3 linked regions of the Struthio camelus genome follow. The protein of the gene in region 1 interacts with the protein of each later gene in a pairwise test. Links are inferred from orthologs where the notes say so. Each region holds a gene or a part of one and is shown in the gene's direction. Other genes may lie near its edges.

The links.
Region 2: the proteins of SIAH1 (region 1) and KHDRBS3 interact in a two-hybrid assay, tested with the Homo sapiens proteins (3 studies listed by BioGRID and IntAct). The link is inferred for Struthio camelus from reciprocal best matches to the Homo sapiens genes SIAH1 and KHDRBS3.
Region 3: the proteins of SIAH1 (region 1) and INHA interact in binary tests that used the Homo sapiens proteins (3 or more experiments, as listed by UniProt). The two-hybrid records come from large-scale screens. The link is inferred for Struthio camelus from reciprocal best matches to the Homo sapiens genes SIAH1 and INHA.

What each region holds. Positions count from the first base shown.
Region 1 is NC_090951.1:15,989,197-15,997,464, reverse strand, and holds the start of SIAH1 (E3 ubiquitin-protein ligase SIAH1), read left to right. Parts: upstream 1-4,784; 5' UTR 4,785-4,803; intron 4,804-8,268. UniProt on the Homo sapiens protein: E3 ubiquitin-protein ligase that mediates ubiquitination and subsequent proteasomal degradation of target proteins.
Region 2 is NC_090943.1:165,592,760-165,601,038, forward strand, and holds the start of KHDRBS3 (KH domain-containing, RNA-binding, signal transduction-associated protein 3), read left to right. Parts: upstream 1-4,927; 5' UTR 4,928-5,325; coding exon 5,326-5,413; intron 5,414-8,279. UniProt on the Homo sapiens protein: RNA-binding protein that plays a role in the regulation of alternative splicing and influences mRNA splice site selection and exon inclusion. Binds preferentially to the 5'-[AU]UAAA-3' motif in vitro.
Region 3 is NC_090947.1:27,735,273-27,743,258, reverse strand, and holds the start of INHA (inhibin alpha chain), read left to right. Parts: upstream 1-4,634; coding exon 4,635-5,001; intron 5,002-6,217; coding exon 6,218-6,951; 3' UTR 6,952-7,986. Other genes in the region: OBSL1 (obscurin-like protein 1), read right to left, coding at 611-1,658. UniProt on the Homo sapiens protein: Inhibins and activins inhibit and activate, respectively, the secretion of follitropin by the pituitary gland.

The sequences.
Region 1 (8,268 bases):
TTATATACCACTTATTAGGCACCATATAAATAACTCTTCTTTTAAACATACTTTACTGATATTCCTTGAAACATATGCCAAGGAGGAAGAGTGTGACTGAAGTAGAAATTGTAAGGTTCTGAAAGTGAATTGCATATATTGTAATCCATTCAGACGAGACGGGAAGTGGGACTGCCATAATTTTTGCTGTGACTTGGCCTAGGCCTGTCCTGGGATAGACTTGAGCTCAAAGCAGGGTGCAGTGTGGGCTGGGGGCCATGCTTGCAGAAAGGTGATCTCAACATCCGTAGCATCGGCATCTCTGTGTTACCACACGATGCTCATCCTGCTCTTGAAAGTAGTGTAGAGGAAGAAATTAGATATCGTTCCACTAACTTTTAATCGGCTCATTTGTTAGGTTCAACTGAAGCAGTCGTAGGGACTTCTGCTGTGTATGACCTTCCACTGATAAGTAAACTAGGATAGAAACTTCCTGTATGAACTTCCATCCCTGTCCACCAAAGTAACGTTATTATCTGTGTCAATGGGCTTTGACCCCAGTATCTGCATGCTGACCTTTTTCGAAAGCTGACTCTGAAGAAATTAAAATAGAACATGTATTCACTTCTTCTGGCCCCAAGCATAGGTCAAAATAAGTTTAATGCCTGCAGCATGCTAAGCTCTGGTTTTAGGAAGAGAGTGTAATGCCAGCAGGAGAAGAATGGTGGAAAATATTTAGCAGCAATTGAAGGTGAGTTGGCTTATACATTTCAAGATAAATTAAGGGAGTTTTGACAACATCTGAAGGTCCTTTTAGGATCTCGTGGCATCTCTGAAAAATTAATCTAAGTAAATTCTAGGCTTTAAACTTTCTGTGCAGGACTGTAGAAGTATAGTATGCTAAAGGTAGAACAAGCATTTTTATAGATCTCTACTATTTTTATCTTGTGTGAATCACGTGTTACACAGGTGTTTGCAGTTGGTGATATGACCAGAATATATTAAATATATTTTCTTAAGGAGCACTTTATGTGTTAATAAAATACTTCAAATATTCCAGAATACTGAAAAGAATGTTAACATATTCTATTTCCTCATTGTTTTTTTTAATAATACTGTGTTCATACTTGTTAAATTATTATTATTAAATGTTTTCTAGCATGTATATTTATAAATATGGTTGTCCTTTTTAAATCCTGACTCACACCATAATATTTTGATGGTACAGTAGTCTAGATTGAGATTTCATATTTACTTTGCTTTGTTTTCTAGTGAAATTAGGTTTAAGAGATTCTGTCCTCTTTCAGCTCCTTTTCAAGTTGTAGCTCTGTGAACTTTCACACCACTGTCCAGTTTCTACCAAAGTGGTGGAGGCTTTGATGGACATTTTTTTCTTTACTATATTCATGAGAGTAAGTGGTCAGATGCCCCAGGTGCTCAGATTCCAATCAGGAAGCCAAACTTCATTGGTTTTACTGCTCATAGAGTGGGTGCATGTTAATTATACTTTCTTTTAATACTGACAAAAGACGTAATGTAAACATAGCTATACTAGTGTGGAAGTACTTTAAATGGTGTATCTAATACAACTTGTGAAATTACTACATGGTATAACAGCTCAGTCTTTCTTTCCAATGGACTAAGTCTTTCCAGGACTAAGTCTTTCACTAGTGATGTTAACTTTGCTAATGAGGCTTCAAATATATAAAGCCAAATAATGCAGGACCTTACACTGTAAGACCTTATTAAGTAATGAATAATCTGTGGTAGCTAACAGGTCATTATGGTGTGGTAGAAGCTTGATGGAGAGCTGACAAACGAGTAGCAAAAAAGTCAGACTATTTCCAGAAAATGTGAAATGATGATATTGCTTTCTATTGTGGATTTCACTCAGAAGACTGGAACTTGACTTCTGGCTATTGTATCCAACCCTTGTTGGCAGCGAATCACTGTATAAATAAAACTATTTAGTCCTTTTGTTTTGGTTAGTTTCCCAGATTATGTCAAGGTTAAATTACACATTAAGAGGAAAATATCTTTTCTCTTAAAAAAAAAAAAAAAAAAGTGGTTTAAATATTCCTCAGTTTGACATATAACAAATGAAAAAATATGCATTTGATATGGTTGTATTTTGTTTAAACAGTCACTCATGCTTTCTATTAGGAATAATGGGGAAAAAGTAATCTGTATCTTACCATAGCTGAATATATCTGCTTTGCGTGATGCTGAGATGAGGTGCTTTTGCATGACATACTTAAATCTGTATTGGTTTACATTTTTGAGCCCTTGACACCTCCTTTTCTTGAAATACTAAAAAAAGTATTGAAGCAATGCAAGGTGTATTTTAGGGGAAAATCAGAATTATGAGGTGTGATTCAGAGATTTTGATGACGAGTGGGCTGATAATGTTCACTTGTAGACATTTTCCTGTACTATAAATTACAGTACTAATATTGGCAATTTCATAAATTTCCCCAATAGAGCAATATATTAATTACAGAATGTATTTTCATTGTGTAACTAGACTAGTGACAAAGTGAGAAGGATGATGATTATAGCAAATCAATGCGGAGAGTTAAAATAAGACAGTAGTGAGTAATATAATGTTCAAAAAGTGGTTTGTCCTGTTGGATACTGCATCCATGTTCCCTTGAAAGCCTAGAAGGTATATCTTTTTGTTCCTCTGCATTAAAAATTGACTTGCATTTGAAGATTTATATTATGGCTATCGTGCATGAGAGGAATTTATTCATGTGATGAGCATGTTCTTTGTAACATCACTGAGTTGTTACCGAAGAAGTAACTGATTCGTATTGTGAGCTGTTCCATTGGTAGGGGCTGGAAGTGCTGTAGCCGGAAAACTCTGGATCTGTTAAACTGGAAAGCAGTGTTCAATAGAGTAGGTAGTGATTGTATTTATCATAACCCCATTCTTCCCGTGTGAGCCACATGAAAACATTCCCTCCCTCCCTCAAGATTAATTTACAGTTGTGTAGTATATTTTACATCTCCAGTAATTAAATTATTTCAGATCTTACCGTGGATGAAATTAGATTGTGGCGACTGGAAAGGAGACCATGTTCAGGTTATATGAAGTCCAAAACCTTGTTATTTAATCATTTATAAGTTCTTCAGTTGTGTTTTTGAAAAGAATATCATCTTTCCTGTTTAAATTATGCTCTAGGCAAGTGCAAGATATACAGATGCTACCACCATTCTTCGTTTCTCAAGTGAATAATCTAATATGGATTTGCAGCTTCTTGAACAGAAGTCTTGGAATATAGAAAGCATATATGATCTATCCTGTACGTCTCATTCCAACATAGAAGATCCCTTTTCATTGTGTAGACTCTTAAATTCTATTCACCAAATTGGAACTTGCCGACAAAATCCCCATATGAAGGTCAGCAGGGTAAAGTGAGAACCTGGATGCCAATGTTGATTTTAATTTCCTGCTGCACGTATCCAGATATATGCATCAGTGGTCCTAGCTGTTCTCACAAGTTCTCTTTGTTTGCATTTTATCCAGGCAGGCTTCTCAGTTATATGTAGAAGATAAGAGAAGCAAGTACGATGGATTATGCCATAACTGTGGGTGTTAATTCCTAGCCGCTTAAATGTATTGCTTTTATGAGATGATGTTCCTTTTGTTATCCTTTACTTAATTCCTACAGAGAACTAAAGTTAGGTGCACAGTTAATAAATAAAATTACAGGTAGCAATCTCTTTCCAATTGAGAGATTCAAAGACTTGAGCAATTAGTCTGTCCATTAGGCTGAAATCGCTAAAGGCTTGGAGACTGTAACATAGGCTTTGTTAGAAATTTCTTCTGAAAATGCAGATGATTTAAGGCAGTTCTTCTGCACATGTTTTAGTAGAGGAGTATAATAAACCCGAACTTTTTATGAGGACTATCAACAAGTACCTGGGGAGCTTCCTGAAGATCTGATGCCTGACAAATTACATCTGTACTGATGGAGATCAAACAGAATTGATGCACAAAACTACTGATGAAAACTGTAAAATAGCTTAATAGTTTAGACTCTCTCTGCAAACCATTGAAATTGATGGGAGGTTTTCTATGAATTATAGCTCAGAACATTGACACATATGTACAGAAGACTTATGACAGCAGTTTCTGTTCTCTCCATCTAACTTTCTGTGAATACTCTGCATCCTACATAGCTTCCCCTTCACCCCTGCAGCCTTCTCAGATGGACAGAAATACCTACAGCTCTTAAATGCAAGGTGTGAGTTAGCCTGAAGAGCCATTTGGCTATAGCTCAGTTAGTCATGCTTGACCTCCAAATCTCTGTGTGAGTCTGCTGCAGAGACCATAGAGGGCCGTGTTCCTATAACACCAATGGGGTAAGACTGTTTCCTGCCATTCGCACCGTTCTAATGTTGTGGGAATTCCAAGGCGTTTTACAATCTGGAATCAGTCCTATGTAAGTTAATATATGTAACTCCGTTACAGAAGCATAAACATATGAAGCTCTGCAGAAGATGAAACTCAGCGTAGATTTTCAGCAAACTGAAAAGACCTAATACAGTTGCTTCGTGAGGCCGGAGATGTAACAAAAGAAATAACCTAACTTTTTCCCAAGCCAGGAACAGATCTTCTGCCTAAAATGGATTTCTTCTAATGAAAGTCTTACACACCAAGCATGAAAATCACTCCCTATAGCCAGCAGAGGAATATAAGGAAAGGCAGCAGCTGCTCTTCTGTGCCCTGGGATGCGAAGAGGAAACGGTATACCCCAGAGGAAACTGAAGCTTTGTCTTGCTAAAAAACAGTGGAGAAAAATCAGCAAGACTCCTCTGGTGAGTAATGTTATATGGCTGATGTGGGCACCTCATGAAATATGGAGTGTGCATAAGTGAATCTGTATGCAAGCCAGTGGTGATGCCAGGGGATTCTTCCGTTTAAACATGTAGTTGGTGAATGTGAAATGCTTTCCAAAACCACATTTTGAGAGTTGGTTCTCAGTACTGTAATTCATCGCTGAATGGATACAGTAATATCAGCCAGAAAAATGCTGTATTTCTAAGACTATATATCCATGTTTCACAGTAAGTGAAAAAATTCTGGTACTCTTTTCTCCTGATATCTACCTTGCTGAGAAGATTTCTTTTTATCTAGGCAGTAAGTTTGAGAATTTGATCCCTCTCTAATGGTTCTGATTTGCTTACTGTATCCAACAAACCATCTTCCTTCTTAAATCCACTCACAGCCTCTCCTTACTGTCCATCACCTCTGAATGGTACTGAGTCATTAAATCCTTCCTCCAATGACCTTGACACAGTAGGCTCCATGCCTTTTTGCTAACTACCCAGTTAGAATATTCATATTTTCCTATACTTCTTTTCATACTTCAGAAGAGATTTTGCACATTTGAACATCTGCAAAGTTCTCTCTGTCTCTTTCATTCAAATCCCAGTAAACCTTTTGCTTGTTTGGTGGTTTGTTTTTCCTATGCCTACAAAATAGAGGATAAATATCAGGATGTCAGTGTACTATAACTACTTTCTATACTGCTAATTTTTATTGTCTTGCTGCTTTCTTTTGTCTATATCCTCCTTGCTCTCTCCCACCTTATGTAATAAGCTCTGTGGGGCAGGGACTATCCTTTTAGGTTTATGTTTGTTTAGCAGCTAGCGTACTGCAGTCCTGGCACGTGATTACAATTTCTAGGCATGACTGTGGTTAATAGAAGAAGAACTTACCTGTGTAACTTAGCCTGGTGTAAAATTGGACTTTATACTATGACAACTTTACCTATATGAAGGGACAAATGATCAAATAGAAGTATGTAAAGATGATCAATATCTCTGAAAGTCCAATTGACATAAGACATTTTCACCTTATATACTTGTGTCATGTAATCTGGAGAGATGGTCAGTTGGGAATTGTATAGGGGAAAGAATTAAATTCAGTCTTGCACCAAAGAAACGGAGCCACTTGCATCTGGACTGTGTGTATGTATGTTAGCCACAGGACTTGCTCGTGGCTAACGTCACAGCTTTTCCCTGTACGTTGTCTCAAATGTGGCATCAAAAGGATGAGAAATCGTCCATCACCATTCAAATGTCTTGGTTCAGTAGGATTACTCCATGAGCTGCAATCATGAAGAGCTGAATTTTTCCTAGTCCTCTTGCAGGTACAGGGAGGGAAGGGAAACAAACATACCAATCTTATTTTTGTGCACATGTGAAGACAAGGGAAAATTGCAATTGGGGAAGTGCAGCAACTATTCCATCTTCCCCCAGGACATGCAGAATCTCCTCTTAGGAACAGAAACCCAGGAGTCCAGGTCCTGTTCTGCTTTTCTTGTAACTTCACTGAATTCAGGGTATTTGAGAATACAGAAGATTGGTACCATATGTGTTAGAGAAGTTCAAAAGGAGACGTATTAGAAAGGATACTCACAAATTATGCCTGCCTGAACGAACTTTGGCAGATTGCAAACACACTATAATGCATACGTTACTGATAAGTTGTGTTGTAGAGAATATAGTCCTTTTGATGTAGGAAATAATATCCGTCACATCTCTAAAACTGTAAATGACGTTTTCACATTAGCCTTGTAACTTTTAGGGGATCTTGTCTGTATGGGTAATAGCGCATAGTTACAGTGCTTGTCTAAGTTAATCTCTGCTAGTACACCGAAAACGTATATACCAGGTGATCCAAAAGGCAAAGAAATCAACAGTTCTTAAGGTTGTTGGCTGCAGTTAGTTTGTACAGTGTTTTTAACGTGCTTAAGACAGCTCAGAATAGTTAAATTTCAGTGTCTTCATAAGCGCGGTTCAAAAATTAAGGTGACAAAATAATGAACCGGTAGTGGCTTAGAAAAGTTCCTCAGCTGGACTAAGAATTTTAGGGGCAATATTCACTTTTTACTTGTTTTTTTTTTTCCTTCCATCAAGCACAAGAGATTGTAATTTATAACCTCCCAGTTTAACTTGTATTGATGAATTTGGTAGAGATTTTTTCCTTTCTAGGATATGAATGAGTCGTTTCACTGTCTTTCTCTTTGGGGTGAGCAGGCTTTGGGATAGTATTTTCAATGTTGTTACATGCAAGCTTATATAAGTTGCTGAGAGGATGCATTCACTCAGCACTACTGATGTAAGCAGATGCCCTCCCCTGCTACCCAGTTCTTGACTGTGACGGTACCCAGGCTGTACTGTATAAAATCCTGCTGATAAAAGTTTTACATAGTAAAAGGATTTTGTAGTGGTTTCATTAAGTGCCATGTTACAACAAAGTCACAAAACTAGAAAGCTGCAAAGATGAAAGTGAAATCTAAAATAGTTTATGAGGATTTATGGTAAACATGTATATATTTTAGAAGGCCTCTGGCACTAATAACCCCCGTGTCTATCCTCTAACTAGATTAAATTAGTTTCCATTAGAATCAGCAGATGCAGCAGCCATGGGTTGCTTTTCATTCCCAGGGGGTACTTTCTCCTTGGTAGCAACCCCAGATACCCTTTTGCTTTTTCAATGTCTATTTGTTATACAGCAGTTAGGAAGATGGCAATAAAAATGGGAGAAAAGCAGGGAGGTTATGGTAAACATCAGTGAAAATGGAAGAAAAAGTTAGAAGTGGCCATGGCTTAAATTAGTTTCTTTAATGGACTTGCTAGCTAAGGAGAAGTTGTTGAAATCTGAATAGTGGAATAAAGCTTTCAAGAGAGAAAGAAAAACACTTCTAAGGGCCATTTATTGGAAGCTCACTGATGAAATTTATTGATTATGAAAATCATTGTCTATAATATGATGACTAAAGGGACAGATTAATCTCTGTTGAAATTCTACTGGAGTCTATATATTTGCAACTGGTCCGCAAACAGTACAGTTTAGGATACATACAGAGAAGATTGATTGTATTGCTGTGGCAGTAGCTTCCTCTAACTGTAGTCCAAAATTTCTAAACATGTAGGATGGCTAGCAGCAGGAATAGTTTCTTGTAAGAAATCCCCATGTTCTAGAGCTTCTATTTTTTGAACAAACTAGGATTTTCTTCCATTAGCATTCTCTCCATGAATTTTTAAGGAAGCAGGGTTAAACACTAAAAATACTAGGAAATAGCAAGATTGAGGCTATTGGTTGCCCTCTACTTGCATAGATTATGATACAGCCTTCAACTGCATATTATTTAAAAAAAACAACATGGTGATATGTGTTCTTAATGCCATTTGTCGTGCCGTACAGGCAGACAGGGTTATAGTATTTTATCATGTCTTGAAGTGCCTCCCTGGGGTGTGCCTGTTGGAATCCAG
Region 2 (8,279 bases), on another chromosome or scaffold:
TTTGAAGACTGGCGTGACATTGGCTTTCTTCCAGTCCTCAGGCACCTCTCCTGATCTCCAGGACCTTTCCAAGATGATGGAGAGTGGCCTAGCGATAACATCCGCCAGCTCCCTCAGCACTCGTGGGTGCATCCCATCGGGGCCCATGGATTTATGGATGTCAGTTTGGAAATACCAGAAGAACTCCTAGGAATTAGTTGTTGTTAATGTTATTCTAGTATACTGAAACTACAAAAAGGGCTGTGGCAAAATCCTAATGACAACAGGCAAAAGATACAAGAAAGATGCAATCTAAAACTCAGTCACAGTTAATAGAAAACTGTTTGTAAGTGATTCATGTTGGTTGCATCTAAGAAGAGAGAAGTAGCAAACTCTCTCCAGAGTTAGTGGTTAAAGCAATTAAAAAAATTTCTTCCTATAAGAGCTGAAAATCATAATGAAGATGATGACTAAGACTGGCAGAAATCTAGAGTAATTGGGAAGGGAAGAAAGAACATGATACTGGCATCACAGTTTGGATGATATCACGGATGATGTTTTTCACAACATGAAAAACTGTCATTTACTTATTCTACTGTAGTAGTTTAGATCTGCCACAGCAACACACTATAGGTTGATACTTAATAGGCAGAAGCTAGAGTAGCTCTTGAATAATATGAAGTTATGCTTATTAGAAAGGAGCTGTGGATACTATGAATTTTGTTTTTTTCGTTACTGATAGAGCCGCACAGGAACAGTTGAAACTCACGAGAAAACGTTGTGGAACAATCTTGATAAACCTTTGCCTTCTTCAGCACTGACTTTATAATGTGATATACAAAAGCACAACTTAAAAGAAGCATATGATCCTCACAAAAAAAAAAAAACAAAAAAAAACAAGCAACCAATCAACAACTTGCTTGGCATATCTTCTGCACAATACCATGGAAAAAGGTGCAAAAGAAGTGGAAGACTTGGATGAACAGGTGCATGTGACACTATGGCATGTTACAGTGGCTATAAATAAGGTGGCAATGAGTTTAAGTGTCTGAAAGAATGTTCTTTTTTCTACCTGTATTAGCCTAATACATGATATTTTCTTCCTGCAAACCTTGTTCTCTCAGAAATAAATATTTCTCTTAGAAATACATTTAAAGAAATAAAAAAAAATAAATTTAAAGAAAGGGTGAATGAAATATGAAAGCAATGTAAGAAATCTTTTAAAAGAAATGGCATCAGCATGGCTGCTACTGGAACAATATTCATTTGGGGATGAAAATAGCCTTAACTTTGAACTATGGGGCAAATGCTTGTAAAAGAAAAAGCCATGCTATTTGGAAGAAAGCATCAGGAGCTTCTGAAAAAGGATGCCTGGACATAACGGAAAACTCTTGACTATTTCTTCATACTTTAACACACGTGCAAATAAAAAAAAAAAGAAAAAAAGAAAAAGGTCAGGAATAACAGCGAAAGAAGAGCAATGATAATTTCAATATGCCTAATAGAAATTGGCAAGTGATATATTGGAATACTAAGGAAGCCAGCATCTACTTAGCAACATGCTAATCAGAACTATGGTGAGTCACATCAAGGACACATTCACTAGATGTGGTATTTGTGACAAACTCTTTCCCAAAATAGACTCGGCTTCTATAGGTCTTCAGCTGTATGCATTTTAATGAGCCAAAGTCTCAGATAAATAACTGTTCTGTTTCTCTTATAGTCTTTAAATTGAGACCAAGTAAATCGGAGGTAAAAAAACACAATAAACCCCTGCAGAGTCTAAATGGTCAGTGGCAGCTCGGTATGATCAATGAACACAGGCCACAGCAAATAAAAGCGTGAGCTGAGAGTAAGTTTGGAAAAACAATACTTAGGTGTAGTTACAGTATTAGGAACAAAGACTTTATGACTAAATACTGCTTATAATGCTGCCCCAGCAAATAAGGAAAATAGAATTGCCAAAAGTTATGGAGAACCTCCTACCTACCAGAGGGAAGGTGCAGCTCAGTTACAGCCTCTTCAAGCAGTCTTCAGCTGTCCCCTTACTTGTGTCAACCGGTCCAGGAAGTAAGGAGGTTAAATCTCACCCCAGAGAGTGAAGGTATGAAAAGGTCTTAAAACTTCTATTAAATATTAAATGTTTCTAAATATTAAATAATTAAATAATTCCAAATGTTAATTTTGGTCCTGGTGCTTTAAGAGAAGTAATGGACATTACAACTCACAGTGGTTCCTAACTGATATCTACCTACTGAAATAAATTCCTGAAAATAGCATGTGTGTATTAGCAACAGAGTGCACGTGTGCGTAAAAAACAACAAACTAGTTTATTGCTAGGGAGTAAGTCATGAGTTTTGAAAGTTTGGACTCATGGCTCTTAAAATTGTGTTACTAGTAAAGCTACTATTTACTGGGCAGTTCCTTGATCAAGCAACTTTTTCAAGTTTTGTATAGATTTCGCTAACAAGAAAGCAACCAATCCTTAAAGAGTTGGTGCTTCCTGCTTTTCCTGGACAGCAACGACGATGCTTAGTGGACTTTTCCCAGATCACCACACCATAGGCAGCTTTCTACAGCCTGTTGCTCACAATTTCCCATTTTTTCTGTTCATTTCTTGTTTTATTATATCCCAGTGAATTTCAATGGAGAAAATACTCTACTAGTTAAGTGCAGGCATGGGTTTGAGCAATAGGATATAACGTCCATAACTTTGTAATTGCTACATTATTATATATCTGGTGAGAAATGAGTCTTCCAGACTTCCAGTAAGCCTTTCTATATCTATACTTTCTATATAAATCAGAGGGAACTGGTATACTTTGGGAAGAAATACTGTGGTTTCTTGAAACAGCAAATGTTTATTCAATCAGTTACCAGGGAGAATAAATCTTTTTGCAAGAAAGGTGCATTATGTTTTATACCATATAATATAGCTACCTTTCTGATTGAGTTCCTGTATGCTGTAGAGGGACTTTAAATACCTTTTTAGCTTTACTGGTGAAGGTAGGGATTATTTTCCTCCAGGTCACTCAATAAAGATTAGCCTCCTACACATTGTTCTGTGGTAAAGTTGTATGTGTCTGACTTTTTCACAACAGATGGCTGCATTTCAGTAGTTGTGTATAAGCTGTATAAGGAAGGATGAAATAAAACCTGCATTGTAATCCAACTTTTCCCAGTAGCTTGTTTTATTCATATCCTCAAGTTTGATGTCACGCAGGAGAACTTAAAAAAATGTAAATTTGTTTGTGGTTATTAGTGCTGGGACAGATATATTTGGAGGGGTTGTATATGGAATGTAAATCAATTATTTCATATTGCAACATAACAGATATTGTTTTATATTTTTTATCTTTCTGTTTTATGGGTAAAAGACCGCATGCAGTTCTGGGAAGGGAGCCTTAACTTTGCTTGTTAAGTTCTGAGTGAGTGATTTCTCATGCCAGTCTTTTTTCAGAGCTTTTCTCCTCCCCATCTTGCATGGATGTAACTGAGATATATTGAAAACTTTTTTGGCATTAAGTATAATAATAAATATGACATTATTTTATTACCACAAGTTAAGAATCTTTTTAGTGGTCTTTTAACTGTACCTCATCACTGGAGAGTTCCCTATTGATTTCTCCAATAAACGTTGATTAAAAACGTTACTCTAGCCTTACGATTTTGGCTTTAGCGCTTTACTAATTTTCTGTCTCTCCCTCGGGCTTTTGTCACCAAGGGTTCATTGATGAAACTCCTGAGGTCAAATAAGGAAGCTGTGCAAAGCCTCGAAGCTAAAGCTGAACGTGAGTAATGATCTAATATACTAAGTGTATCCTCTGAAAAATATCTAGGAAAAAAAAAACGCTTGAGCACAATCCCGAGCTTTGCTTCTCCTACCTGTAAAACGGGCTGTTTGCAGCCAGCGTGGCGGCAGCGGAGAGGGCGCGGGCGGGGGAGCGGGTTTCACACCCAGCAGGGCTCGCGGGAAACGGCAGCTCCTCCAGCTCCATCAGGTTGCCACTTCGCAAACCCGCTTCGCGGTGGTCATAACTGAGCAGAAATAAGATTATTTGGCTCATACTTATGAAGTGCTTTATACTACCAGAGAGGAAAGGACAAAATACTGGCTCAATAGTGATTTCGGGGGGGGGGGGGGGGAGAGTTAAAACAGGCTGTTGTTTCTCCTTTGGGAACAAATCTTCCCCCCGGGGCCTCCCCCCCCCCCCCCCGGTAGGTGGTACGGGGGCACAGCCCGGCCGCGGCCTTGCTGCCCCAGCTCGGGGGGCGGCCCGGAGGGGGGGGGGGGGGGAGAAGGCACAAGGTCCCCGCCGCTTTGTCCCTTCGCCTCGTTGCTCACCCGCAGACGGCGGCGGACGAGCGCCCACAGACGCCGAAACGAGTTCGCCGTTATCAGGTTGCATGTTTTATTCATCGGCGGCGCGCGGTTTTAACGGACGCTGCGGGAGGGGCACAGCGCCGGCCCTTCTCTCGGGGGAAGAGGGGGGAAGGAGATGAGCGGCTGAGAGGGTCATGAAAGCGCGCAGCTTTAATGAGAGAGCCCTGCCCTGCGGTCGGCCCGTCCTCGCTGCGTCCCCTCAGGGCACCGCCGCCCCGGCCGCTGCTCGTGAGGCGACGCCGCTCGCAGCCCGCGCGGCGCGACCGCCCCCCCTTCCCCCAACACCCGCGGGGGGGGGGGGAGAGCGAAGCGCACCCACCAATCCCAATCTGCGGTGGGCCGCTGACTGACAACCCAAATCACCCAATAGGAGGCGCCGGCTGAGTAGGCGGGGCCATTAGCGAAGGAGGCTGGGCCAGCACCACCCATTGGGAGGGGCTGGAGGGCGGGGGCAGTGGGGCAGGGGAGGGGGCGGGGCTTAACAGGCAGGAGGGCGGGGCTGAAGGGCGGCAAGGGGGCGGGGCTTGTCCTGGGGTATATAAACCTGGCGCCGAGGGGTTCGCCCGTTCAGTCGGCGCGGCGCCGCGGTGTGAGCGGTTTGTCGGCTGGCTGCTTTTTTTTTTTTTTTTTTTCCCCCCCCTCGTTCTTCCCCTTTTTCTTCTGAGCGCGCGTGTGAGGGGGAGGAGGGGCTGAGCGGCTTTCGGGGCCCCGTTGTGCCTCCGCGGAGGGATTTACCCGCGGCCGGAGCGAAGGGGGAGGAGGGTTGGAGGTGGGGGGCGTCCCCCGGCCTGCGCCCCCATCGCCTGCCCGCTCTGGGCCGGGGGCTGGCGGCGCTTCCCTCTGGCTGCGTCCCCGCCGCGGCGGGCGGGAGGCGGCCGGGGGGGAGCGTTGCCTCGAAGGATTTATCGCCGCTTGGGACCCGGCCCCGCGTCGCTGCCGGCTGCCCCGTTGGGTTCGCCGCCATGGACGAGAAGTACCTGCCCGAGCTGATGGCGGAGAAGGACTCCCTCGACCCGTCCTTCACCCACGCGCTGCGCCTCGTCAGCCAAGGTGAGCGCGGGGGAGGGGGGGGCGCCCGCCCTTCGCCTCCCCTCCCCCCCGCCGCCCCTCAGGGGGCCGCGCGCGGGCTGCGCCCCGCTCCCCCCCCCCCCCACGCGCGGAGCCTCCGCGGAGCCGCTCGCCCTCGGGCAGGGGTTTTGGAGCGGCGGAGTGCGGGGCTTAGTGGCGGCGGTTCGCTTTGTACCACCTGGCTCTCTTCCCCCCTCCTCCCCCCCCCCGCTTTGTTTTTTCTTCTTTTTCACTTTTTTCTTTCTTTTTTTTTTTTTTTTGCGGGGCGCTGGCGCCGCGCGAGGGGCAGCGCATCTCGCGTGACCCGGAGCGTTGCCTTTATGGAGGGAGGAGGCTTCGCGGGCTGCTGCTCCGGCAGAAGGAGCACCTCGCCCCTGCCCGCCCGCCTGCAAGCGGTGGGAAATGTAGCACTGAAGCCTCCCGCATCTCCAGCCTTCCCGTGCTGCTTGAAAGGTTGCTTTTACGCTAGCAAACGCGTGGTTTTCACTGAAACTGTCCCAAATTGGGTGGTTGCATGTGGAGAATTGCTTTAGTCCTCTGCACTAGGCTATTCATTCTCCCACCCTGCTCCATTTTCTCCTATTCATAAGACTTTTCCCCTCCCTAAAATGTTTCTGGGTAGATCGATATTGTTTGTAAGCAATAGATTATTGTTTCTATATGCCTCAATATTTTTTTTTTTGAAAGGAGTTTGCAGACTAAGCCTTTTCCTAGAAACTTGTGACCCTAATATATTAAGGAATCAAAACCACATCTTGCTGAATCTTTTCAATACCTAACACATGTTTGCTTTGCGATTATAAAACTTCATATATTCAGAAATGATTTCTCTGCATCCCCCCCAAGATATTTCACTTTGAAACGTTTGATGTATCGTTTCACTGAAGTACTAGCTCTTTGTTTAAATGACACTTTACTGGATATAAAACTCGTTTCCTGTGATTCACGTGATGTGGCTTAATGTAAATTTGGTGCATTGTATGGAAGACAGGTGACTTTGGAATGCAAGTCTTCTATGAAATCAAACACTTGAGACACTTTGGAACAGTCAAATAAAACAAGTTATGAACTGATCCTGTAACTTAAAATGACAGCCCCGATGACTCTGGCTTCTATTACTTGGAGTGATTGCAAAGCTGCGCTAGTGAACTTTACTTCATAATAGCTTAGAGCTGTTCCAGTTGTGCGATTTCTTTGCCTTGATTGACATAGCTTTTTGTGTAATGGACTACAAAATGTCAATCTCAATCTGAGGGAGAGTCGACTGTTTTCTGAAATATTCTGTGTTTGCAGGTAGCTGTCAGTTTTAGCTGTGAAATGCATGTGCCTGGTGGTCTGTAGCTGCATGTCCTTGGACTTGGTATTCTGCATATTTTTCCCTAACTTACCAGTCTTAAGCAATGGATTGGTTTTAAAAAAAAAAAGAAAACCCATTGTTCATACTGGCATTTTTGACAGAGTGGCACTATTGATAGTGTTGGAGGGGAAGTATTAGCAAGTAGTTTTGTGTTGTGTGCTGTAAATAAACTTGTTTAACATTTTTAGCTTGATGGCTGAGATTTTTATGGTTATAAATTAGTGAAGTTCCTCCGCAAATAGTGAAGGAAGGATTATTTTAGATTTCTGTGTGTGTAAATTATTTTAAGGAAGTTACAAAAGCATGTGAATTCTTATTTTACAGTTAGTCTTTATGAAAGAGTATGCATGATTGTACATCTAATGTTTCTTGGGACTCTGATAGCTTTTTGGAGTACATTGAAACAAGTGATATTAGAGGGCAGAAATATAAAACTTCTGGCTTTTTCTAAAATCATGTAATACTTGGTGTCTTAATGTATACTTTCAGCTCCAAAAATAAGTGGTGCATTCAGTGAAAAAAATATAGACAAATACATGGATGCAACCTTGTTGTTCTAGTGTCTGGATTTTTTGCTTGCTTTGAAAGTGCAGTCTTATGTTAAGATCTGATTTGAGTATTACAGCTATTAGGGACAAGTAACTAAAAGTAAAGCTCAGTAGTCTGTTACCTGTAGTATACAATGCAGATTTGTGTAGTCCTTGTGTATAACTGTGTTAGACAGTTGTGCAGTCACCAGGGAGCCAAATGAGGTGAGACATCTGTATAATAAAGTAGGAAATGTAACACTTAAAAAAACCCCGTGTTTTACAAACCCATCTCATTCCATCATGACACTAACTTTAGAAGTGTCTGGTTCATTATTTTGCTGTAATTGTAAGTAACTATTATTAGGAATGCAACTGTAACTACTGACTTGTACTTTTTAAGTCGGATCCCCCCCCCCCCCCAAGTGTTCTCTCCCCTTTCTAGAGTAGTTCATATGAAATGACTGGTATAATATTTTTAAGTTAAAGTTGCGTTAATTTTTCAGTTTAGAATGGAATGGGTGTTTTTTTCAATTTTGTCTTCACCCAGGTATTTGTGCGAATGTCTTTACAACAGGTTTTAAGTGCTTAAAATAACCAGCTTAATTATGTAATAGTTTTTTGACTTCTGGCTGTCTTAATAGTATTACACTTATTGTTTACATTTACTTTAACTGAAATACTGTAGGTAAGCCAACTTTCTTCAGAAAACTAGTATTGCTTTATAAGAAATATAGTTGAATTGGGAAATTCTTCTGAGACTCTGAAGAGAGCGGAGTGCATGTACTGCTTAGACAAAAAAAAATCATTAGCAAATCTCTACCCATGCTGAAATTTGTTTTCTAGGGAGAAGTGGTCCTACATCTAGACTTTTAATCTGTTAATTGTATTTCTCAAATGGAAATGGACACATTTGCATATTTTATGCTTATAATTGCAAATTATAAATTGGATAGACAAATTG
Region 3 (7,986 bases), on another chromosome or scaffold:
CGCAGCAGGCGTCCGGGCAGGCGGCGCTGCGCGTGGGGTGGGTGCACGGCCGCCGGCGGGCTGGCAGCGGGGCAGCGCCAGGTGCTGCATCGCCCTCGGCGAGGGGCCGTCCTGGCATCCCCAGCTGGCAGCGGGGCTCCGTGCAGGCTTTGCCAGAGGGACGGGGCTGTCGCCAGCGCAGACGCTTGGTGCCGTGCCCTGCAAGGCTCCCAGCCAAAGCTGCTCTGCGCTTGCAGGGGAATTTGTCACCAGCATGTCGCGCCCCCTCCCTGCTCGCGGCCTGACACGCGCAGCCCCCTAGAAACATCACCCCTCTGCTTACAAGGAGAGGGGCATGGCGGGGGGACAAACACGGGAGCTACCAGCCCCTGGGGCAGCCCAGCAGCCCACGCCTGCCGCTGGCCCCGTCTCGACAGACCCCAGAGGCGCCCCGGCCCCCGCGCGCCCCCAGGCCTGCCCGAGCCCCTGGGAGGGGAGCCCAGCAGCGCTTGCTCAGCCCGCGTGCCCTGACATGCACGTGCACGCGCAGATGCGCCCCTGCTAGGCAAACAGCCCCAAAAGCACACCCGCAGCCCCCCGCAGCCCCGGCGGCCCGTGGGCCGGTACCTACCCTTCACCTGGAGCTGCACAGCGCTGAGGGTCTGGCCGGCCGTGTTGGAGGCGGTGCAGATGTACAGCCCCTGGTCCTGGGGCTTGCAGTACAGCACCTTGAGGATGAAGTAGCCCTCCCTGTCCTCGTAGACGAGGTGCCTGCGCCCCGGGGTGACGGGCTTCCCGTCCTTCTTCCAGACGATCTCCGGCTTGGGCTTGCCGGTCACGTAGCAGCGAAACTTGGCGTGCTTCCCCGCGCTCACGGCGAACGCCTTGGCGCCCGGCACGCCGGCAGGCACCTCACCGTTGGGCAGCGCCCAGCCCTCGGGCACGGTGCTCTGGACGGCGGCGTGCCGGCGGCGGTGCTGCTGCCGCTCTCCCGGCTGCTCCAGGCCGTTCCCGGGGGACCCGCGGGATCGCTCGTCTGGCAGCCCCGGCGCCAGGGGCTCGACCAGGAGCACGGCCGCAGCCAGGGCTTCCCGGGAGCCGCTCCGCGCCCGGCACACGTAGACCCCCCCGTCCGGGGGCCGAGCGCTGAACAGCTTCAGGAAGTGCCAGTCTTCAGGCTCCTTCCCCACCGAGAAATGACTGCTCTCAAAGAGGTCGGAGAGCTCGTGCCCATCCTTCTCCCAGTGCAGCACCGGGCAGGGCTGCCCTGACACCCTGCAGGTGAACATCACGTCCTCCCCCCGGCACACCCGCATCGACGAAGGCCGGACCAGGAAGACGGGTGGCTTGTTTTCATGGTCTCCCTCCTCCTGGGGCTCCCCGGCCTCCACTTTGAGTGTGGCAGCAGCATAGGTCTCGCCAACGTTGTTCTTGGCCTTGCAGACGTAGAGCCCGCTGTCCTCCGGGGTCACTCGGGAGACCAGCAGGCTGTAGACATTGCCCTTGGCCTCCACATGGAAGCGGCCTGACGGTTCGATCGGGGTCCTGTCCTTCTCCCAGAGGATGCTGGGGCGGGGGTCGCCCGCGATCTGGCACTTCAGGACGGCGTCAGCGCCGTTTTGCACCGTGAAAGTGCGCGGGTAGGCCAGGAACCTGGGTGCTCCTGCAAACCCGTCCATCCCGGCCTCCCCGGCCTCACAGCGGGCAGCTCAGCGGGACAGCAACGGGGATCATCAACCTGGAGCGATGCACGGACAGACCGGGGCTGGGGTGAGGCTCCAGCTACGGCCCTGGTGCGGGGCACCTCCGGGAGGCACCCCCTGCGCCCCGCGAGCACAGCAGGAGCACTGCATCTCCTCCCCTCGCTCCGAGCCCCCTGCCCCACTGGGCTGCAGGGACACGGGCTGCCCCAAGCCCTCCCGGGGGCGGCGGGGGCCTGAGCCAGGATGCCAGCGCCCCACGAACATGCTGTTTGCCTGACTTGGCGCTTCCCTGAATATGCTCCAGCCTCAGCCCAAACCAGCCATTTTTCTGCCCAACAGCCGTGGGAAAGGTGGCAGAAGACAGTGCTTCGTGCCCCAAGGTGCCTACAGCCCCGGCTGTATATGCGTACAGACAGGACCCCCAGCTCCAGGAGCACAGGGCCCCTGGCTGGATGGGGCACGGGAGCGAAGGCAGCTCCACGCGGGGTGCCGGGGACGGGAGATGGGGCAGGGGCTGGGGCCGAGGCAGGAAGGGCCCCAGCCCCGGCCGTCCCCACCCGCGGGGGCATTCCTGCGGTATCGGGTGGTGGCAGAGCCACATTCCTGCAGCATCTGGGCTGGCTCAGGCGCAGGTGCTGATAAGGGGCTGTCATGGCGGGGGGCGGGGGGGAATCCGGCCGGATCCGGGTGCTTTCTCCCCGGCTCAGCAGGACAGGGAAGCAGGGCTCCCAGCAGAGCTCCCTGCCTGGGGCAAAGAGGGGCTCCCCACGGAGAGGAGGTCCCTGCTCCAGAGCGTGGCTGCAAAGGCAGGATCCCCCACCCCAGCCATTAGGTATCAAAAGCCGTAACTCTAAATGAAATAACCAGGCGCTCAAGCCCCAGGGGTGCAGAGGGAACGCTGTAGGGACCGATCCTGCTGCCAGGCAGCCAAGACACCGACTCGACCCCCAGCCCCGCAGGTGACAATATCCATCATCACAGGCTGGAGAGCGGCAGCGTGGTCTCTCTGCCTGGCCTCTGCCCACACCGTCACCGGGGCTGGGGGCAGAGGTGTCTCTGCACTGCTCAGGCAGGGCAGGACATGGGGAGAGAGAAGCCAAGATACTGCCTGAGCGAAAGGGCAGGGGAGGGTGGGACGGGGCCGGGGTCCCCAAGAAGGAGGGACCAGGGCCAGATTCTCCTCCCAAACCTCTACCTGCAGGCAATGCATTCATTCAGTGAGGCATTCCCGGCCAGATGCTCCTCTAGTCCCACGGGCTGCCCCAACAGCAGCTCCCACAGACAGGCACAGCCCCGACGGCTTGGCCACTCTGCTACTCCCCTCCAGCTGCCCCCGTGTCCCCCCGATCCCCCTGCCCCACGCAGCCCCCACACCACAGTCCCCTGCCCCACACACGTACCTCACTCCTTCGCCTCTTCCCTGTGTCTCCCAGCACCGGCACCCAGCTCCTGCTGCCTCCCCCAGCTCTGCTCCTGGACGTCAGCATGCAGGGACCAAACGTTACAAATGCCTGCAGCTGCTGTCCCCAAAAATACCCTCTGATGACACATTGGGCTGATAAGACTGAGCCTGCTCCATTCAGTGCCTTGGCTGGGAAGGGCTGGCCTATGTATAGCGCCCCAGCAGGAGAGCGGCCCTGCCTGGAGTGGGGAGACAGTCCTTGACCTCCAGGGCTCCAGCGTTCGGCAGGCTCAATGGTGCCACGGTGTGGGGTCAGCCTGCCGCAGGAGAAAACACATTGTGTGGGACCCAGGCTGAACAAAGATGGGACATGCCACCCGGGACATGCTGCATGGGACACACCACATGGGAGGGGATATGCCACAGGGGATGCACTGCATGGGATGCCAGGCTGCAGCGAGATGGGACACACCATATGAGACACACTGCATGGGATGCCAGGCTGCAGCGGGATGGGATGTGCCACACAGGATGCACTGCATGGGACACTGGGCTGCTGCAGGAGTGGGCTGGCACAAAAGCTGCATCCCACCATGCAGACACGCAGGATTCCTGGAGACAAGACTCCTGGACACCAGACTCCTGTCACTGTCCCTGCAGGCAGCCGCAGGAAGAAGGGCAGGATGCACTGGGGGGGGGAGGGGGTCCCCTCACAGCCAGCTGCCATCAGGCAGCTCCAGCTCCCAGGAGCAAGTCTGCAGCCAGGCAACCCAAAGGGCACTGTGGCCTCTTTCACCTGGTGCTACTGTAGGGTCTCCAGCTGGCTCAGCTCTGCCTCACTTCTTCCTCCTCCAACTCCATCGCAGGCTGGCCCAGCCTTTCCCTGGCCACTGCCTGTCCCAGGCTGCACGGGGTCCTTTTCCCATCCCTCCTGCTTCGTATCACGGGACCTTGTCAGCCGCCTCCTGCCCACCACAGGCTGCCCTGGAGATGCCGCAGTTCCCCCTTCCCCAATCTGTCCTTCCTCGGGCTCCCTCCTCATGTCCCTGCTCCCCAACGACCTCGAGGTGACCAAGACATCTCCAGCACAAGCATGCCCAGCCTGCCACCCCTAAAGTCCCTCCCCACATCTGGGCCTCACAAGGTTCTGGACCACATTAGGTGTCTGCCCAGGTTTCATCACCCAGCACAGCCACCATCACCTCCCCCTGTGCCCCCAGAAGCCCTGAGCCCGCAGCTCCCTCACCCTGCTCCAGCATGGGGACACCCCACACCGGCAGCTGCCACGCTCGCCCCAGGGTGCCCCTCCATCCACACTGGCACAGCAAAGCCTTCACGGCAGCACGCTGCCTGCAGCCTGGCCTCCCCCAGCCCCGTGCACCCACTGCCCCGGCAGCATCACCCCCGCGCCCCCCTCCCTGGGCGCCTTCCCCCCCCCCCAGACCACACTGTCCTTGCAGTCCTTGCATTCCAGACGTCTCAGCGCTTTCGCTGCCCAGAGATAATATTCACGGCGAGCAGACGTTTGCGTCAGTGTCAGATACGTCTCAATGCCACCGTGCCCCAGGCGGCGCGCAGTGGGCAGACGGGCTGGGCTTGCAGGCAGGCACCCACGGCAGAGCCCCCCGAGCAGCCGGCCCACCGCACGCCCCGCGGCCATGCTGCTCCTCTTGCACCTGCTGCCAGCCATGCTGCCCCCCGCCGCCCTGGCCGCCTGCACCGGCGCTGGCGCCGACCGGCAGCTCATCCTGGCCAAGGTCCGGGCACGGGTGCTGGAGCATCTGAGCCCCCCTGCACCCCAGGAGGGGCCCCGGCAGGAGGGGAGGAAGATGCATCGGAGAGACGTCCTGGAGACCCCAGAAGTCCCACACGAGGAGCTGGAGGACACCTCCCAGGTGATCCTCTTCCCATCCACAGGTGAGAAAGCCCCTGTGAGGATGGAGAGGGCAGAAGAGCTAAGCTGGGCTGGTGGGTCAGGGCATCAAGCATGCAGCAGGACTATGATGCTGGTGTGGGACAGAGGAAGCAGGTAAGCCAGGCTGGGACGTAGGGGTGGCTGAAATGTGACGGAGAGCCATGAGGCGGAAGGGGAAGGCAGGCAGGGGTAGGCAGGTCAGCCCAGGACCCGGCAGGGAGAGGGGCAGAGGGCAGGTGAGGGGCACAAGAGGCAGGCCAGGGTGCTGACAGCTAGACAGGCTGGGGACTGCCTGAGCCAGCTGGGATGCAGAGAGACGGAGAGGGATGAGGAGAGGACAGGGCAGGATGCTAGGGGACAGGGCAGGACACTAAGGGACAGGGGCAGGATGGAAAGGGATGGGGGCAGGATGCTAGGGGACTGAGCAGCACTAACGGATCAGCCTAGGGTGCAGAGGGGCACAGCTGGCCTCCCGCCAGGGCTCAGCCTGCCCCGGCCCCAGGGAGCTGCTTGCTGCACAGCCCTGGCTGTCCCCCGGGCAGATCTTGCCGCTTGGCCGGGAGCGGGGGGCAGAACGGCCTCCCCACTGGGACAGCAACCCACGCTGGGCACACTGGGACCCCCTCTCCGCCCCACACCCCATGGGAGCCTCCAGCAAGCCTCTGCCAGCCTTCAGTCCCCCTCCGCAGCCCGCAGGGTCAGACTGAGCTGCCCCGAAAGGCGGCCAGAGCCCACGCTCTGCCGCAGCCGCCGGGGACACGGGGCTCCCCAGCCCGAACGCCCGCGAGGGGCAGGACGTGCTGCCCCAGCCCCGACCCTGCCCACGCAACACAGGCTCCAAGCCCCCCGGCGGCGGGCGCTTCGCCCCGTGGGCCTGAGCCTGCCGGCTGTCCGCGAGGCCGGGGAAGCGCCGGGCAGCAGCCCTTCCCGGAGCCGCGGCGCAGGCACCTGCTCGGCCGGCGCCGTGCCGTGCAGTAGCTGCTGCGCAGCGCTAGATGTCAGCTGCCCCGCGCCCGGCCGCCGCCAGGCCTGCGCGGCGGGCACCCTCGGGGACCCCCTCTGCACCACCCCAGCCTCTCGCCCTGCTTTGGGACACCCTGGGGTGCCTCCTTCCCCCGTCCCGGCGGCTTGTGCACGCGGTCAGGGCGCAGGGCGTTTGGCGGCGTGCCCCGGCGCGGGCACCTGCTGCAGCACCCCGGTGCTTTTTTCCCCTTGCAGACGTGCCCTGCGAGCCCACGCAGCCGGACAAGCTGCTGGAGGAAGAAGGGATTTTCACCTACCTCTTCCAGCCGTCACCCCACACCCTCAGCCGCGCCGTGACATCGGCCCAGCTCTGGTTTTACACCGGCCCCGCGGCCGCCCGTAACCACTCGGCCCCGGACGTGCTGACCCTGTCGCCGCAGGGCCGCGTGCCCGTGGTGGCCACGGCGGTGCAGGCGCCCGACCACTGGACGGTGTTTCATTTCGCCCCCGCCTTGCTGCCCCACATCTCGCAGCCGCTCTTCGTGCTGCTGGTGCGCTGCCCCGGCTGCCCCTGCCTGGCCGACGGGGAGAAGATGCCCTTCCTGGTGGCCACCACCCGGGCCAAGGGCAGCGAGCGGGCTCGCCGCTCCACCGTGCCCTGGTCCCCGGCCGCCCTCGGCCTGCTGCAGCGCCCGTCGGAGGACGTGGCCGCCCACACCAATTGCCGCCGGGCCTCCCTCAACATCTCCTTCGAGGAGCTGGGCTGGGACAACTGGATCGTGCACCCCAGCAGCTTCGTTTTCCACTATTGCCACGGCAGCTGCTCCGAAGGCCACGGCTTGAGCCACCGGCTGGGGGTCCAGCTCTGCTGCGCCGCCCTGCCGGGCACCATGCGCTCGCTGCGTGTCCGCACCACCTCCGACGGCGGCTACTCCTTCAAGTACGAGACCGTGCCCAACATCCTGGCCCAGGACTGCACCTGCGTGTAGCGCCCGGCTCGCCCCGCTCGGCCCCGCGCGAGGGGCTCCCTCCCGCCCCGGCACGTCCCAGCCGCAGCCCTGCCCCGGACCGCGGCCCCGGCCTTCCCTCGCCCTGCCCCAAAGCCCTGGGCAGCCCAGGATCCCGTCCAGGGCGACGGAGGAGTCACTGGCACGAGGGAGCCCTGCCCCACGCCGCGGTGCCGTCCCCTGCTCGGGGACGGGGACGAGAGGGGGACCCGGAGCGCCCTGCCCCACGAGCCCCCATGCCACCCAGCGTTTCAGCGCTCCCGCCGGCGGGGCGTTCACCCTGGCAAACCCGCGCCAGGACCCTTCCCCGCACGGCGCGGGCCGGGGCGCAGGGGATCGGGACAGGCGCAGCCTTCTGCAGAGGAGCTGCCAGATACGTACCGCCAGCCCAAAGGCAGGTTTGCATCTCCGACCAGCTCATCCCATGTTTCTTCCCATCCGTCCCTGCCCCAGCACTTTGTCCCCAAAAGAGACTGGGAACGCGCGAGCAGGTCCCCCTCCTGCTGCTTAGTGCAAAGCAGCCCGAAGGCGTCAGGGCACCTGGGGCACGGTTTGCGGTGGCACCTGCAGCACCACGCGGCAGCTCGCTGCTGCTGGGGGGGACGTGGCAGCGAAGCCCCCCCGAGCCTGGTCCCAGGGCCTCGAGGAGGAGCAGGCGCCACCTGAGAAGTCCCATAAAGCCAAGCCCTGACTCCCTGCACGCCCCGGTTGGGCACCCAAGTCCAGAGAGCTGCTGGGTCGCTCCCATCAGCGGTCTGCTAGCCCGAGGCCGCTTGGTCCCTGCAGGTTTCGGAGATGCAAACTGCCCGCCGTGCTCCTGGCAAGAGGCAGGCAGGGGCAGCTCGCGGCAGGGCAGACACGGGGCCGGGGACACGGGCCTGGGGACAAGGGACGGGGTGTGCCGGGGCAGGCCGGGCCGGGATCTTGCACAGGTCGTGGGGCCCGCGGTATGCGTGGCGCTGCAAGCAAGCCCTCTTTGAGTGGCAGAACCTGTTTGAAAGATTAACAGGATGAGCA